2 linked regions of the Drosophila melanogaster genome follow. The protein of the gene in region 1 interacts with the protein of each later gene in a pairwise test. Each region holds a gene or a part of one and is shown on either strand. Other genes may lie near its edges. The genes, in order: Sugb and CG14882.

Evidence for each region.
Region 2: the proteins of Sugb (region 1) and CG14882 interact in a two-hybrid assay, tested with the Drosophila melanogaster proteins (one large-scale study listed by BioGRID).

The regions. Positions count from the first base shown.
Region 1 is NT_037436.4:11,680,006-11,689,908, reverse strand, and holds Sugb (sugar baby), read right to left. Parts: upstream 5,930-9,903; 5' UTR 5,328-5,929; coding exon 5,264-5,327; intron 3,840-5,263; coding exon 3,701-3,839; intron 3,185-3,700; coding exon 2,350-3,184; exon of another isoform or gene 2,287-2,349; coding exon 1,819-2,286; exon of another isoform or gene 1,758-1,818; coding exon 1,449-1,757; 3' UTR 1,084-1,448; downstream 1-1,083. Other genes in the region: TfIIEalpha (transcription factor IIEalpha), read right to left, coding at 6,240-6,433, 6,502-7,597.
Region 2 is NT_033777.3:16,439,945-16,446,874, reverse strand, and holds CG14882 (uncharacterized protein), read right to left. Parts: upstream 3,669-6,930; 5' UTR 3,588-3,668; coding exon 3,498-3,587; intron 3,448-3,497; coding exon 2,173-3,447; 3' UTR 1,865-2,172; downstream 1-1,864. Other genes in the region: Ttc1 (tetratricopeptide repeat domain 1), read left to right, coding at 3,958-4,472, 4,527-4,803; ema (endosomal maturation defective), read left to right, coding at 5,457-5,662, 5,716-5,855, 5,919-6,067, 6,125-6,267, 6,324-6,410, 6,472-6,930.

The sequences.
Region 1 (9,903 bases):
AGCCAATATTGTAACAGATAACAGTTGAACAAAAGTTAAACCATTTGAATACATAATAATAATAATTATAATAATAACTGTATACGTTATAAGACCAGGCTATCGTATGTCTGCGATTAGTTGGAAAACATTACATTGTATATTGTGTATAGTTAAGTAAGCACTTAAGAGATTTCACAGAAAAAAAAAGATAAATGCGTCCAATGAGTAAAGGAAGCAAATTACTACTATACATTTAGCTGCAAATATTATTTATAAATATACAAATATTTATGTTTAACATTAAGATGGTGTGGAGAAACAATAGTTGAACAATCACAGCGCCAAGGCAGCGGCTTATTTAAACTAAAATTCGCGGTAAACATTGTTTTTAACTACTAGAACATGCAAACAACCAGCTGCGCTTGAAATTCTACAAATAATTAAGTTCTCACATTGGTTTCAATTGTAAATGAGAAAATGAGGAAGAGCTTCGCTTACGCGACATGCACGCGTAGGTGGCGATCCGTGTGAGTGTGGGGCTACTGAGATAAGTTACTACTTAATTAAAGCGAGATTACAATACAGGTAGTACATCGATTCAACATGCAGCTCGGGAGTAGAAATATGTTGGAGTGCAGCATTCATTTGAACTGTAGAAGCGTGGCCCTTGTCGCCGCTGTTTTTTAGGCTGGCGCTCGTTGGTGATTGGTGTTGTGGGTGGTGATGCGTCCAATACAAACATTGTTTAGCTAACTCTACTATACTCCTGATCATTCAGCATGTGCATTGCATCTGTCGGTGCGAAATACTTGACAGTGCCTAAAAATATTCAGAAGAGTTAGTGAAACATTTATATTATTGTATTAAATAATAAATTTACAAGTAAAAGCTAAAGGGGGATTGAATCTAATAAACATTCCACTTAAATTACACACAGGAACTAAAGCGATTAGTTTAAAATGCCAAAAAAAAGTAAGTTACATTTCATTATGGCTGACCAAAAGTGTTAGTCTACATGTTAGCTCATTATTTTTCCACTGTAAGAATATTTACTTCTTATAAATTATTTAGGTTTTATAGGCACTTAAAATAGTTTTTCTTCTCTTTTTTCAAAGAAATCGAATACCCATTTTATTTGTTAAAGTTTTCTTCAGTTCGCATACATTTAAATTGAAAAAGTATGATATGGCTATCATCATTTCGTTTCAGTATTACAAAGCTTATTTCATAGGACGACAATATTATAAATTCATTTTGAGAATTATTAGGTTTGTTTTCGTCAAATATTCTATTATAAAATCTATGGCAGATCTTACAAAATATATGGTGGTTTAAGTACAATGGCCAGCGTATCCACTGCATTTAAATGGATAATACTTAAGGGCGCTAGCTTCTGGTTAGTTTAAATCCGTCAATTTACATAAAACTACAAAATTCAAAATTCAGGAAGACAATCACGGTCACCATCAACTCAAGTCGACTTCGCGAAACCCGTCACCGTCTTTATGGTCTGTATTTTTAGGAATGTCTGTCTCCAAGGGTGCAGAGGGTGAGGCAGTGGCGGAGGCAGAAGCGACCGTACCCTTACCATTTTCGTCGATGTTGCTGTTGCGCTGCAGATACAGCTGGATGCAAACGTGGATCACAAAGACAATGAAGGCACCAATTCCGAAGATCTCAAAGGTGGTGCGTGCAGTGACCGACTCAAATAGCTGTCCAGCGATCAGGCTGCCCATTGACACACCAACGCCTTCGAATATCGCTCCAACCAGACTCTGAAATGGCCACAATATGCATAACTCTTGGGATCGCCCCCTACACATTCATCGAACTCACCTGCATGGTAGCATCGGTGCCTGGCGGTGCCACAATGCTTGCATAGGAGGCCATTGTTGCATAAAATAGACCGAAGGTCACCCCGTTCATCAGTTCGATGGGCAGGATGTACCAGGGATTCTGAAGCATCGAGTAGAGAATAAATCTCACTCCGAATCCAAAAAGCACCACACTCATGGCGTTTACATGGCCAATTTTCTTTAGAATCCATCCGGATAGGAAGAAGAACGGCAGCTCACCGCCAAAACACTGAATCCCCATGACCAAGCCCTCCAATGTCTTAATCGAGCTGTCGCATCCCTCGAACGCCTTGTCCAGCTCCTCCAGGTATATGAAAAGGAAGTTCCATATCAGCGCCGTTCCAAGTCCAATGGCAACGCACCACAAGAAAAATATAACGCAGCGCACCGAGAGAAACATCTGACCCACATCTTTCAAAATATTGGACGACAAATGTGTTGGCGTGTGCTGTAATTTGGAGTACGGAAACTTTAGTTTAAGGAAAGGATTTTCTGTCTCTGATATGCTCACCCTCAGCTTGGATGATGCGAACACATCAAATCCCATGATAAGCAAAGCCATCCAGAACACGGCCGTGTAGTTCTTGTTCACCTCACCCAATGACATGTGATCCACAAGGAGGCCGGCCAAGAGGGCAAAAACTCCCCATCCAAGGGAGCCGCACAGGCGCTGTTTGCCGTACAGGTGATGACGATCGCCGAGGATGCCAAAGCATATGGCGTCACCAATGCTGACCACCACCGCCATGCCGATCCAGCTGAAGATGAGCAGGCCAAAGAACAGCCAAAACTGCGGCATGGTTACGGCACTACTCGTGTTAATCACAGCACTCTCCGCCAGCTGCTCCTTGAGATAGTCCTCACGACAGTCCATGGTGCAATTGGATTTGAAGTACTCCTTCTCCTTCGGGCAGTACAACGTGACATTCTGGCCTGCAATCTGGCCTTGATCGTGCGGAATCATGAAGAACATGCAGCTGCCATCATTCTCAATCTTTTGCATAGTTATGCTGGCTCCGAATTCCATCTGGGTATTGGTTCGATTGGCGGCACAGTTTTCCGTGTTGTTCTTTAGCCAATCTTCACACACTATGTCCCACATGAAGGGCTGTGCCTCGCAGTTCAGTTCACACTCCAACGTCCTGTTCCCGTAGTACCGCTCAAGATTTCTCTCCACGCACTCGCCGTACTCCGAGCAGAATCTCGGAATGTCGGATACACCCTGGTGGCAGTGGAACTCGACCTTGGGCAACGGCTTCTCCATTCCCGGCACGAACATGATGAGGAAAAAGGCGATGCCCGTGAGGACCTGGCCACCCAGAAATAGGGGTCGATGGCGATGGTACCTTTGGATGGGTGAAAACCATTCTAATTAGTTAAATCTTCAAATAGTCAGTGTATCAGAATTAGTTCAAATTTTCCTATTATTGAATTAATATTTTCTAATTGGTAGAAAACCAACAAGTGACACCTAAAAACAAGTACATTATCTTTCGATAATGAATAAATTTATCCATCAATCAGCAAACCAACTATAAGCATTGTCATTGCAAATTTGAACTGTGTCTTTTGATTGATAGTGTTAATCAGTTAATATTCAAATTCTTTGGTAAAACATATGTAATTGATGCCACTCTAAAGGGGCTTTATCTTTTTTTGTTGTTTGATAATTTCCTTAAATTCAGTTGGGATATGCATACATAGACACTTTATGAGTATAGCTCACTTGAAACTTATCACAAAAAGACGTAACATTGTGCTGAGTAGGAGTTTATAAAATTAAATAAAGTGTGATAAACAAACGTGTTTGGGTCTTGGAAATTGGATCTACATGGACAGATAAGTCAGAGGGATCATCTTACCGGTCCGCAATGTATCCAAAGAGGGGCTTCGCCAGCATTCCGATGATGGGAAGGATAGTGTACATGGTGCCCACAACGGCGGGGGAGTAGCCCAATTGGCCGGCCAGAGTGGGCATGAAGGGGACGACGGGAGCGGTGCCTAAATAAATATAATGCAGAAAAACACTAGATTATCTTGCCGACTCGTTAGAGCTGATAAGTAAGATGAGTGAGTGAGTGGGTGGAGATATGCATATGGGCAGTTCGAAAGCAGTGGGTGTTTCTCCACCGCCGATAAGCAAAGTCAACCGCAAACAAGTGCAACTAGCTAGACATTGTCGGCTCGCTTCGAAGTAGAACATACCTAATGTTAATTGAATTGAAAAGCAAAAGTAAGCTTTAATTGCTGAAAGTGGTTTGCCTGTCGGCACGTCTTAACTTTTGATGACTTTCGGGCGCGGCATTGAGGTCTCTGGGCCATGGTGCTGTCACAAAATCTCGTTTCCTAACAATTGGACACCTTTGACAGTGGGATTGCGATGAGTCCGCCGCTCATCATTTCGAAAACGGTTTAGTCGTGGTTTAGCTTGGGGTATAAAGTACACCTTATCGCACGTCTGTGTTTGCATGGCCAAGAATAGTATTACTATCTTCACAATTTTCAAAACATCTAATTACTAATACGAATATCAGTAACATCTGATGTTTTAACTAACCAAAAATGAATTGTGTCAGCCAATTCTGGCAATTGACACCAGATTGGAAATTGTATTATTTTGTTTCTATGTGGTCTTAACTCAAATAAAGTGCTTAATTAATTGGACGCCAGACATTTACAGATACTTCAAATTTTCCATCCGTTTCCATGGAAAAGTTATATTAATTGAAGTGATTCCAAATACACATTTTTTGATGATTTTATACAGAATAGAGCGTGTTTCACTGGTATTGCTGGATAGGAGATTATTTCCACGAAAAATATTAATCGTATGAAAATTGTAAATTGTTGCTGTTTTAGTATGTATGTGTATATGGGCGTACTTTTAATAAAATATGGATATTAAATGGTTGTAAAATACACTAACATATCAGTAGATACAAGACAATTGAATTTTTTGTAACAGCTCAAAGTTATAAGGGTTACAGCTAATTAAGTTTCGATTACACGACATAAACGTAATGGAATTGCTCCGATTGTAATTAAAAGCCAGCAAAGTGCTGCATCATACGATGGGAATCGAATCGTAACCCGAATCTGCCTGCATTAGCTTATCGCTATTTAACTGGACTTTCATTGCTCTATGTTCTCTATTGCGGGTGATTGCCTTATCTTCGAACATGGTGCTCTATATGTTCATTAATGCATAAGTGCCCTGTGACGAAATCGAAGCTACAGATCAAAAGTTCGCAATTAACAGCTAAATGTATGTACATATGGATGTACGTACACACACTCATATACATATATATACATATATGCAGCACGTGCGTGCCTCTGAAAACGAGAAAACATTATCGGCTGATGTAAGCGATGCGCGGTGCTTAACTTAATGGTTTTGCTAGGTATGGGGAAGGGGTACTTGCCGGCGTTGAAGAGAAAGTAGTGCGCCTTCATGGGCAGCAGCTCCTTATCGATGGTGGCCTTCATTTCGGCGTAATTACGTTGACCCGCGGCACAAAGATCAATACTATCGGTGCTAAACTAGCGCGTTTTTCAGTTCATTCACAAAAAATGCGAGGGCAAGCAGAAAGAGCATGTGCCTGCACACTCACACAGCCAGCAGGTGTTGTTATTTATTTTGCATGTGTGTTTTTGCACGCGGGATCACGTTTCTGCTCCAATTGGAATCCGCTGAGTTGGTTTAATCCGTTTTCCTTTCAAAGAATCAACACTTTTGCTCGTTGGCTATTCGAAGTGCAAGGGAACTTGTCGCACTTTTAGCACGAATTGAGTGCCGCACCACGCACAGTCCGCGGAAATCGAGGGCTCCGGCTAGATGGACATCCAAAACACGACTGAATGGAGCCGCTGGCGTTACGAGCCGAGTGTCAACATGTTTGGTTGTGTTTGCCGTCGTTTGTTTACGAATCCGCCTTATCTGCGGCACACCAATTATTATAAACTGAATACGCCCACCGACGAACAAGAAGAGGCGCCCGGCCGCTCGGTTTTTTATTAGCAACACTTAAATAAACCTAAGAAAAAAAAAAAACAATAATGGCAAACACAGCTGATTGGACCGACTAGGGATGGGAGTTGGTCCAGCTAGAGATGGCACTTGCTTACAAGCGAAAATAACGAGCTTTAATGTATTTTAAAATATTTGTCTATTTAGAAGATTATTGAAAACGTCCAATAGCTTCTATAAATTATAATACACAATTTTTTGCTCAAAATATTTCCCAGTATCAAACTCGGTCTTTGTTTATGCACATTTTTATACGCATTTCATTTGTACACATTCGCTCGAACTAGTGGGTAACTTAAATTACAATGACTCTATGCGTGAGATGGGAAACTCGTGGAAAACGTAGAAATCGTGGCTAATTGCAGACGCCCTCATTCGAATATATGGCTGTAGTGCTGCTGGTATACGTGTATGTAGTTCTCCTTCTCCTGCGGCGTCATCTGGGCTATCAGGTTGTCGTCCAGTTGGTCGAGCGGATGCGGTCGTCCAGCCACTAGCACAGTGGGCACATCGTCGTCCTCCTCCGCGGAATCTGAGTTGATATAATTGTCGAAGTCGACATCAGCTGCAAGTACAAAAACGTATATTAGAACCCATAAAAGATGAGATCGAGAAATGGTTGGTGCTTCTTACGAATCTTGGAATTTTCGATGTCCTTTTCGTCGTCGCTGGAATCGCTAGAGTTGGCGTTCGATGAGCCCACTCGCATACCCTTCATATGCGGCTCCTTCTGGCCCGGCTGCTTCTCATGCTGCAGCAGCACGGACATGATGTCCTCGTTTTCCTTTCGGTTGCGATGCCCAGATCCGCTTGCCGTCTGCACCGCATCGGCCGCGCCATCGGCAGCATCCGTGTCGGTTATCACAGTGCTCTCTGTCATCCAAATGGGGCGCGACTTGCGCTCAATCACCGCATCCGAGGTGTCGTCGCCGCCAATGGTGACGTCCACACGAGTTTCCTCCACGGCAAAGCCCTGGTTTCTCGTCGCCTCACCCGACCACGCCATGCCGTCCGGTCGCGTGGCGTTGGGTTTGTTCAGTCCTCGAATGGTGTCGATGTCCACGGGCTCCGGTTCGAGCACCTCTGGCGCCAGCTTGATGCCCTCCACCTCACGGAGCAGGTCGTACAGTGGCTGCAGCTGCTCGTTGAAGTGCGCTAGCATTAGGCGGGAGTCTTTCTTGGGCATGGCGGCGCTGTCCTCCTCCACGGAACTGCCGCAGAAGGTGCACCGGAACTCCAGCGTGGCCATGTCGAACAGCTGGTCCGCTTCGAGGTCCGTGAATGTTTTGGAACACGAAGAGCACTTAAAACTTGCTCTACTGGTGGCATCACGCTCCTCCGTCTCCATACGCTTGCGCATGAGATCCAGCTTGTACTTCACCACGTTCACGAAGGTCTTGTAGTTGATGAAGTAGTAATTGACCTTCTGCGCCTTACCATCCGGCCCCGTTTCCATTTTAAGCCTGATCTGGATGAACTTGTCGGTGCGCAGCGTGGTTATCCGGGCCCTTAACTGCTTCTTCTCGAAGCGCAACAGCTCGCCGATGTCGTCCTCCTTCATGCAGGGATTCCGCACCAGCATGTCGATGATAAGCGCATCCTCCAGGGAATAGAATCCACGGACCACGAGGCGCGCCAGTTGCTTCAGACTGCTGGGCACCTCGGTCACGTACCGCACCTCCGTCTTCGCTGGCGCTGCGTTCGCTGCAGCCGTCGATGTCGACGACATTGTGTGTTTATCTGGAGGATCGGCATTATTAAGATATATATAAACTGATTTTTTCCTTTTGTTGCGAGTGCTCTCCTCACGCCACTTACCAGACTCTCGAAACCGGAACTCCGGAAGCAGAGCACTTTGCGGTTATTCAATGCAGGCAGTGGGTCCGTGGATCTTCATGGGTCTACCGGCAGTCATCTGCTCGCTGTTTGCCCGTATTTCGTATGATTTTCCACGGCAAAAATAAAATTTCCACCGCCAAATTCTTCTTTGTGCAGCAATGTGGCCAAAGAAATTCCTTCGAAAGTCCTCGAAGCAACGCGAAAACCCCTAAATAAGCCTCGCCTTTAGGTGAAACACTTGGATAGAAGGGTAGCTACGCTTCAAACCGATTTTTAGCCCGCACAATTTAGGGCATTGCCACACCAAACTTTTGAAAAACTCATTTCAAAAACGTAGCGTTGAAAAACATTTTATTAGAGACATTAATTTAGCGAAGAATTTAATAATACGAAAATAATTTAGCTATATTTACTTTAAACCAATAATGTTGTTGTTAACTCGAAAGCATTTTGTAGAAATGTGTTTATACATTTAACAATTTTTTTAGAAACCAAATAACCTTTTAACAACTTTTTACTACTACGGAATTTGCCAGATTTGAACGCACTACATTTACATGTTTGTGCAATGGCTTTACTAACAACTTCGCATCTGAGCGCTGTTTGCTTTGAATGTTTTTGACCGCAGAAATGAGTGAAAATAATCCAACAAGTCGTCCTCTCGCCGCCTTTGTTTATCCGCTCGAAGTGCTTAATATTTCATGCTCCGCTGTCTAGGGTCGTCTATTTTTTAATGCGAACTTCGCCTTGCGTTCGAGTGCATTCCGGTGTAATCCCCCGGAACGAGGCTCGCCCACATAAAAAATACCATGGCTACAGGAGCAGAAGCCAAGCAGAAGCCAAGCAGCCGCCGCGGGGGTGGACTTTCCACGGGATCAGAGGTCGGGGGCGCAGACGTCTCCTTGCGTGTTTATTTGGCAGCCAACACACTTCTGTTGTCCTCGATGAATGTCATGGATATAATTGGACGCACAATGCGAAGTCCGAATCAGCTGCTCCATGTTTACAAATGCCAATTCAACAGACAGAAAATAGGCAAATTTATGGAACACGACGAATCAGTTTCCAAAGAAATTATTTTTGCAAAAAAAAAACTCGTGTTTAACTGGAAATCCTATCAAAAAGATTCTTTCATTGACTAATGATCAAATTAGCATTTAAAGTATTAAAACTAAATATAAAACTCAAAATTTAGCCTTTATTGTTTCACTTCTTCTGCAATAAGTTGACTTTTTGTCGCTTTTCTAACTTAAAATTTTTATAAAGGTTTTTCTTGAAATACATATATAAATATTTGTTGTTATGAATGAAAATTGAAACGCGTTTGAATGTGGTATCTTAATCTTTACTGTAACAAATCTTCAGTTATTTGCAAGATGGTTTATCCTAATATGTATGCTGTAATTTAGTTTCTGTACAAATTGAAATATTAAATAAAAATATATTGCTATTAATGAATATTTAACTTTTAAAATGTTTACAGTGCCAACTGCAGCACGTGAACACCCACGGGCGTCCAGCCTGCAGAGTTGCCTGAATGGCTCGGAAAAGCCCAGTCGCTCAAAGGGTGGGAAACTACTCCGCGGAAACTCCTCCTGAACTTGTTTACCTTGCAGCGGAGGGCAGGGCGCAGACTCAGCGAGAAAAGTGGACACAGACAGGGGAGTAGGCCGAAAGTGCTTAGACGCTTTTCCGAAAAGGAAGCAATAGATACCCTACAGCACTACGTCCATGGGAAAAGCTCTTTTCCGCGCGCGAGGGAGAGAGCAGCGGGCAGTGCGCAGGCTCTCGCTCTCTCTCTCGTTCGTTGCGGGGAAAACAGAAAAAGGCTTTTCCACTTTCGCTGTTGGCATCCGCCTGCAGTTTGAATTTTGAGTCGTGCGCGCTAACGCTCGTTTTCCACGCTTTTCCGCTCGACAATTTTCCAACGGCGGCCACAACAATTACAGGCGACAAAAGCGTGCAAATAAAAACTTGTGTTTCTGCTTTCCCAACGTTTTACTGCAGTTTCCTTCGCTGTCTGCGAGACGGCGGACTTTCTTGCGGCTTTCGTTTTTCCGTTCGCGTGTGTGTTTTCTTTCGGTGTTTTTGTGTGTTTTCCGCTGCGAATACGGAACGCAAAAGGAAGAGCCACGATAAAAAACACAAAGGAAAATTGGTAAAACGCGGCGCCGCCACTTTTGCCAAATTGATTTT
Region 2 (6,930 bases), on another chromosome or scaffold:
CATAATTGTGATTTAAGCGATTTTATCAAATCAGCATTATGCGACTCTTTATAAAATTCGTCGTAGTCAGTAAGTGCAAACGAACCCTAACAGAGAACATGCAATACTTGTTGTACATTACCAAAAAACAAAAAAAAAAAATCAAAACAAAACGAAGGCGATAGATATAGCAAGTCGAAATGAGTGTAACAAGTGCCATTAGGACTAGAGCTAGCAGCAGCAAGCGACACACAGCAAGATTATCTCCACAATTTATGCATTTCCCATAGAATACAGATATCGATGCAACAGATAACTAATTAGAGCCAGCTAGACAGAGCTTGTATGTATATTAGCTGATATTCGCAGTGTGGACGGGATTGAGGGATAAATGTTCGATATTCCATTTTAATTAGTACAAACGTAAGACTAACCAAACGCCACAAAAGAACAGATTAAAGTAGATTCCCTTGTTCCTTCCTTGGAGATATTTGCCATACGCACAAAGAAAATTGTAATTCTATACAAGCCCCTATCACAATAGAGATGTTATTTAACGCCGTAATGTGTGTGTCAAAGCTAAAGTGAAATATTGAAATATTGTCCCTAGAAAGACTATATAGATCATATAGAAGTGGTATACGTACACTAAACCTACTCCCAACGGGAATCATAAGCAATGCCAATTGCCGAAGAGAATATATTGAAGAAGGTTTAAACTACCTATTTTTCCATTATCCTCTCAGTTCGATATTTTATGCTATTTCCCACCACCACAAGTTCTATTCGAAAAGTATATCTGTGGGCTAGTCGCCAGACTACAGATATTTTACGAAAACACAACGAAGGCGAATGAAAAAAGGAGTGCATTCAAGGATCTTTCGCCAGCCGGTGTTAGCTTTTTTATCTGTTATATATACACTTACCGATAGGGATTATATTTTACTTGCAATTTTGATATTAATAGGGAAAATGGATTGCTGCTGCTGCAGATCGGTTCATAGTTAAATTTTATATACGAAATGAAATCCCAATATTTGGCCTACAATTATGCATTCATAATTTTTAAAGAGCTTAATTATTAATCGAAAATATACTTGATTTTCTTAGTTTAGCTTAAATGAGTATTAGGCAAGGCAACGAACGGATAGTATTTTGGGGCAGTAGAAACGGGGTTAGATTGCCTTTTTGGAAACCGAAACATACCCGACATTACATATTCGCAAACGCATTTAAGACGAACGCAAAATTTGCAATTAAAAACGTAAATGTAAAATGGAACTTAAGTCTTGAAACCAAACAAAGAACAACATAAAGTAGCATAATTTTTTATACGCAACTTTTATTGCAAATGTAAAGGGACGAATAGGAGAAAGAAGAAGCTGACATCAATTTTGATCGATTCGTAATTATATTAGTATACACTAAAAGAATTGGCTCTATTTCAATTAAACTTAAACGTAGATAAAATACAAAATGCATATTATTGTGCAAGGTCAAAACGACTTGCCAAAATAAACGTAAACAGTATAATAAATAAAAAGATCTAGATATTTAGAGAAGCGGAGAAACAATAACGATACATTAGCGCTTTACCAATCGGTTAAATTCAAAGAGCAAACCCTACTATACGTTTTATGTTTTATGTGTGCACGTTTAATTTGCTTGAAACCTAAGTCGTAATCTATATTCTACCATTATTTAGATATATTTTGCAATTTACCACTTAAGTCAATTTTATACACAGACCCAAATCCATTTAGTACACGTAGTCGTCCCCATCCACTTCGATCATTGAAGATGGCCCTCACAATTGTATGTATTTAGTTTACCTTGCACTGTAATTTTTATTTTGTGTTGTTAAATATATCGTTATTTACTTATTCGACCAAAGCTTTCTGTTTTATAATTATTTACATTGAGGCTGCAGTTAAAATAATAGCAATTGATTTACAAACATCTGAGTGCAAATACTTGCATACATTAGCTACTCAAATGAGCAGTGGAAGTGGTTCCTTTGCTACACTTATTTTCAATTATGAAAATAAACGACCTTAACCGTACGTAAAAACAACAAACACACTAAAAATTCAAATTTTCTGTAAGAGTTACAAACGACTAATATATTAAGGTATTTATTTATAGGGCTTAATTAATGAAGCTTTTATTTTGACTGCACCTAAGACTTGTCCATTACAGCCAAACATCCTCGCGGTATTTGTCCTGCTTCCTCAGTTTTTTTAACAGCTGCGAAGCTTCTTCTTCAGTGAGATGCATAGCCTTCTGCAAGCAACGACTTAAAACACCTGCAATGGACTGCGAAATCTTGGCGCCATCGGCACAAATGTACAACACAGTCTCTGACTTCATCAGGAACTCGACCAGATCCTCACAGTCCTCCTCCAACATATGTTGCACGTAGCTGGGGGATTCGCCTCGCGAGTAACACATCCGTAGGCGCTCGAGCAACGAAGATTCCTGCCACTCCATTAGTTTTTCACGCTTAAGAACTGCTTCTGGGGTCTTGGCACCAATGTAGAGCCAGGATTGCCCGCTTGGCTGTTGCGGCTGCTGTTTTATAAGCTCTTCCTTGTGGGCTAAGAATCCAAGAAAAGGCGCCAGACCTGTGCCAACAGCAATAAGTATTTGGTTTCTGCCCACATCCCGCTCTGTGTAACGGAATAGGTTGCTCATTCGTGGGTAGATAACTACTTTTTTGGAATGCTCCGGACTGCTTTGCTGTGCAGCCGCCTCCAACATGCTGGTTGTGACTCCAGGTTTGAGGCTGAGCAGCGAGTAGATAACGCGAAGTTCGCGATTACTAGCCTCCAAGGGACTGTTGGCAATGGAGTACGGTCGCGGCAGCAGCCGTGGCAAGTGCTCTGCCAGGAATGCCAGTGGTGGCCTGCAGTTGACGCACACTTCAAGAATGTCTATGAAAAGCAGGCCTTGCTCTAATATCAGCGATTGGTAGTACTCGGTGGCCTGTTTAGAGGACAGACAGGACAGGAAACAACGCTCTTTGTCATCGCTTGTAAATCCGGCCAGGGCGCTGAGGAGCTGCTTCTGCGGAACAAAATTAAGGGAGAGGCAGTGGGTAAGGATCTCCCGGGGAGTAGTAGTTGCTGGAATGTGGGCGGGTAGCTTAGCATTCTTATTGGCGCAGTTGAACACCAACTTTAAGTGGCAAGTGGTGTCGGCCTGGTCTAACAGTTCCAGCCGATGGAGCAGACTTTCCACTTGTTCGAGTTTATTAGCAGGCAAAATTCCAATGGTATCCCCGGGCTGGTAATCGAACGTGGACTCCAGAGTCAGCTCCACCACGCGTTTTGTCTCTGTAGCCTTATCAGCAGACACGAGCACCTTGCTCTCCTTTATCTCCACTGAACTTGGCTGGAAATCAGGGCGGGCGAATGGGAACTTTAAAATATCGCAGCATTTAAGTTGGCCGCATGTTTCGGTGGGTCTCTACAAAGATAGGCTTGAAAAGGCTATTCTCACGGTAGCTCCTAACTCACCTGCTCTTCGTCCGTGAAACACAACTCCAGATTACCGACCAGCGGCTTGGCGGGGATGTATTCACTCAATTTATAAGCTCCTAAGTCCATTTTTCCCGTATTTACCAATTCGCATGGGCAGCAGTCAAATCGTTAACAAGCGGTAGTGTTGGAAAGAGTTTATTTACAGCTTCCCTTATCAAGGGAAGCTGTAAAAGATTAAATGTTTATTTTAAATTGGTCTTCATCTTTGCCAAATACAACATTAAGGATTATCCTTAAATTATTTGTTTTAAAAATTATCTGTACCTAACATTTCTTAGCTTGGGAAGGTACCTAATCAGAAACCTACCTTTGTCAACACTGTACGACATCGGTGTTATCGATATGCACAGTTATCGTTAGCATGAGGAGCTTTATTTGTTGCTGAACAACAAACCGAAATCTCCAGTAAATTCGGTAAGGATCAATTTTAAAAAGAATGGCAGGCAACGCCAACAGTGACGACGAATTCCATGATGCGATCGGGGAGGAGATAACCGAAAAAGAGGCCACCAGCACGCGGCAGAGCGAAAAGGACGTGGATGAGATCGTGGAGAAGCAAAACCAGCTGGCGTTGGATGACGAAGCGGAACAGGGCGCGGCTGGTGGAGATTCCATCGCGACACCAACGACAGTGGACTCTGAGCTAACCATTGAGGAGTTGCGCGAACGGGAGAAGGATCTCAGCCCAGAGCAGCTGACAGCTAACAAAGAAAAGGCCGATAAGCTGAAAGTTGAGGGCAACGAGTTGTTCAAAAATGACGACGCCGAAGGCGCCGCCAAGACCTACACAGAAGCCTTAGACATTTGCCCCTCGGCCAGCTCCAAGGAGCGAGCAGTTCTCTACGGAAACAGGGCTGCTGCCAAGATTAAGCTGGAGGCCAACAAAGCGGCCATCGACGACTGCACAAAGGCTATAGAACTGTGGCCGGAGTATGTGAGGGTGCTTTTAAGGTCTTTATTTTAATATCTCCCTTAAAATTTCTAAAGTCTAATTACATCTTACAGGCGCGCCAAGCTCTATGAGCAAGAAGACAAGCCCGACGAGGCTCTGGAGGACTACAAAAAAGTTACTGAGATCGATCCCGGTCAGCAGGAGGCTCGCGAGGCTCAGATTCGGCTGCCGCCAATTATAAACGAGCGCAACGAGAAGCTCAAAAACGAGATGATGTCCAGCTTAAAGGACCTGGGCAACATGATACTCAAACCGTTCGGACTGTCTACACAGAATTTCCAAATGCAACAGGATCCCAACACGGGCTCGTATTCCATCAACTTTAAATAAAAACCTAGCTAGCTAATGCTCTGCAGATCAACAAATAAAGCCGTATTCGTGGATGATGTGTAAAATAATAGTCAAACTGTAGCAAAACGTATCAAATTCAGTTCTCGTACATTTTCACCTCTGTAGAATATGCAAATGTGAACCCATTTTCATAACAAACGGTACCAAAAAAATCCATTAATTATATTTAATGTAAAATGCATGGTGTGATATGCTATTAATATATGAGGTTTGTTCCAAATTTTACTGTCTGGTTTTACAAAATTCAAACGGTTCTTTTGAGAGGTTTTTAAAAGTCGTGAACCAGTCGCAGTTCTCATGCAATCACAACAAAATAGCCACTTGTCATCTCTGTTACTTCGATACCGATAACCATAAATATGGGCGGAAGCAACAGCTGACTGTGACACTTGTGTTCCCCGTGAAGAAGAAGAGCAATTTGTTGGAAAAAATCGCCATTCGCAAATTACAATATTAGATTCGTGCAATCGCAGGCATTAGGTGCCCCCTTATTGTGGGCCAACCCAGTGGCGTGACCGTGAGCAGTAGTGCATGCAAAGATCCAAGAGAACAGCGCTCCCGCACTCCTCCTTACCCTGATATGAGAGCAGTCAGGCGGATCGTGGCCAGTTGATTCCATCCTAGTTGCCAACATGTTCCGGAGTCGCAGCTGGTTTGGCGGACCCTGGGGTGGGCGGCCCAAAAACCGCTTGTCGCTGGAGCACCTTAAGTACCTGTACAGCATTCTGGAGAAGAACACCACCGTGTCGGAAAGTAATCGTGGCCTGCTGGTGGAGTCGCTGCGCTGCATCGCAGAGATCCTGATTTGGGGCGACCAGCATGACTCGCTGGTGTTTGAGTGAGTATTAAGCATCTCAATGTAATAAACCTTAATCTAATTATTTGCAACAGCTTCTTCTTGGAGAAGAATATGCTATCGTATTTCCTGCACATAATGCGACAAAAGAGTGGAGGCTCGAGTTTCGTCTGCGTGCAGCTCCTTCAGACTCTCAACATCCTCTTTGAGAACATACGCAACGAGACGTCCCTGTGTAAGTACAATTTTCAACAGTTTCTATAATACAGTAGACGTAATCATTCCTATGACGTTGCAGATTATCTGTTGAGCAACAACCATGTAAATTCTATCATGGTGCACAAGTTTGACTTCTCCGACGAGGATGTGATGGGCTATTATATACTTTTTTTAAAGACGCTAAGTCTAAAGTTAAACACTCACACAATACACTTCTTTTACAATGAGGTTTGCATTGCCTAAAACACATATTTACATCCATTTAATGTGACATATTCCTTACAGCACACAAATGACTTTCCCTTGTATACAGAGGCTATTAAGTTCTTTAATCATCCCGAGTCAATGGTGAGAATTGCAGTGCGCACCATTTCCTTAAATGTCTACAAGGTTCAAAATCCAAGCATGTTGCGTTTTATTCGAGACAAGTACGACCTTTGCCTTCAGTCCCATGAGCTCCATTAAACTATTTTTTTCTCCCTAGAACGGCTGCTCCATATTTCAGTAATCTGGTCTGGTTTATCGGCAAACACATTCTTGAACTAGACACTTGTGTTCGCACAGATATAGAGTAAGAGTTATTGTAATATAGTCCCTCGTTTTATAGTATTGATTTCTTAATTCATCCGCAGCCATCAATCGAATCAAAAGCTGTCCAATTTGGTTGCCGAGCATCTGGATCATTTGCATTATTTGAGTGACATTCTTCTACTGGAAATCAAGGATCTGAACGCGGTGTTAACCGAGCACTTGCTGCATAAGCTATTCGTGCCTCTGTACATATTCTCACTTACACCAGCTCCGCCCCCGCCCTCACTGGCAGTGGTTACCCAGAATCTAGCTGCTGTGCTTAATCGCAATGTGGACATCGACATACAGGAGATGCACAATCCGCGAGTGAGCTCCATCGTGGCCCTTTTCCTGCTCTCATTGGTCTTCCTGGTGGTTTCGCATGCCCCTCTGGTGCACGCTCTGGCCTGGGTTATCCTCAATGGTGACCACAGCGTTTTTAAGGAGGGTGCAGCCGAGATTCTTAATTCATACGTTGAGCACCGCGAGGTGGTTGTGCCTGGCTTCGGCGAGCCCGACGA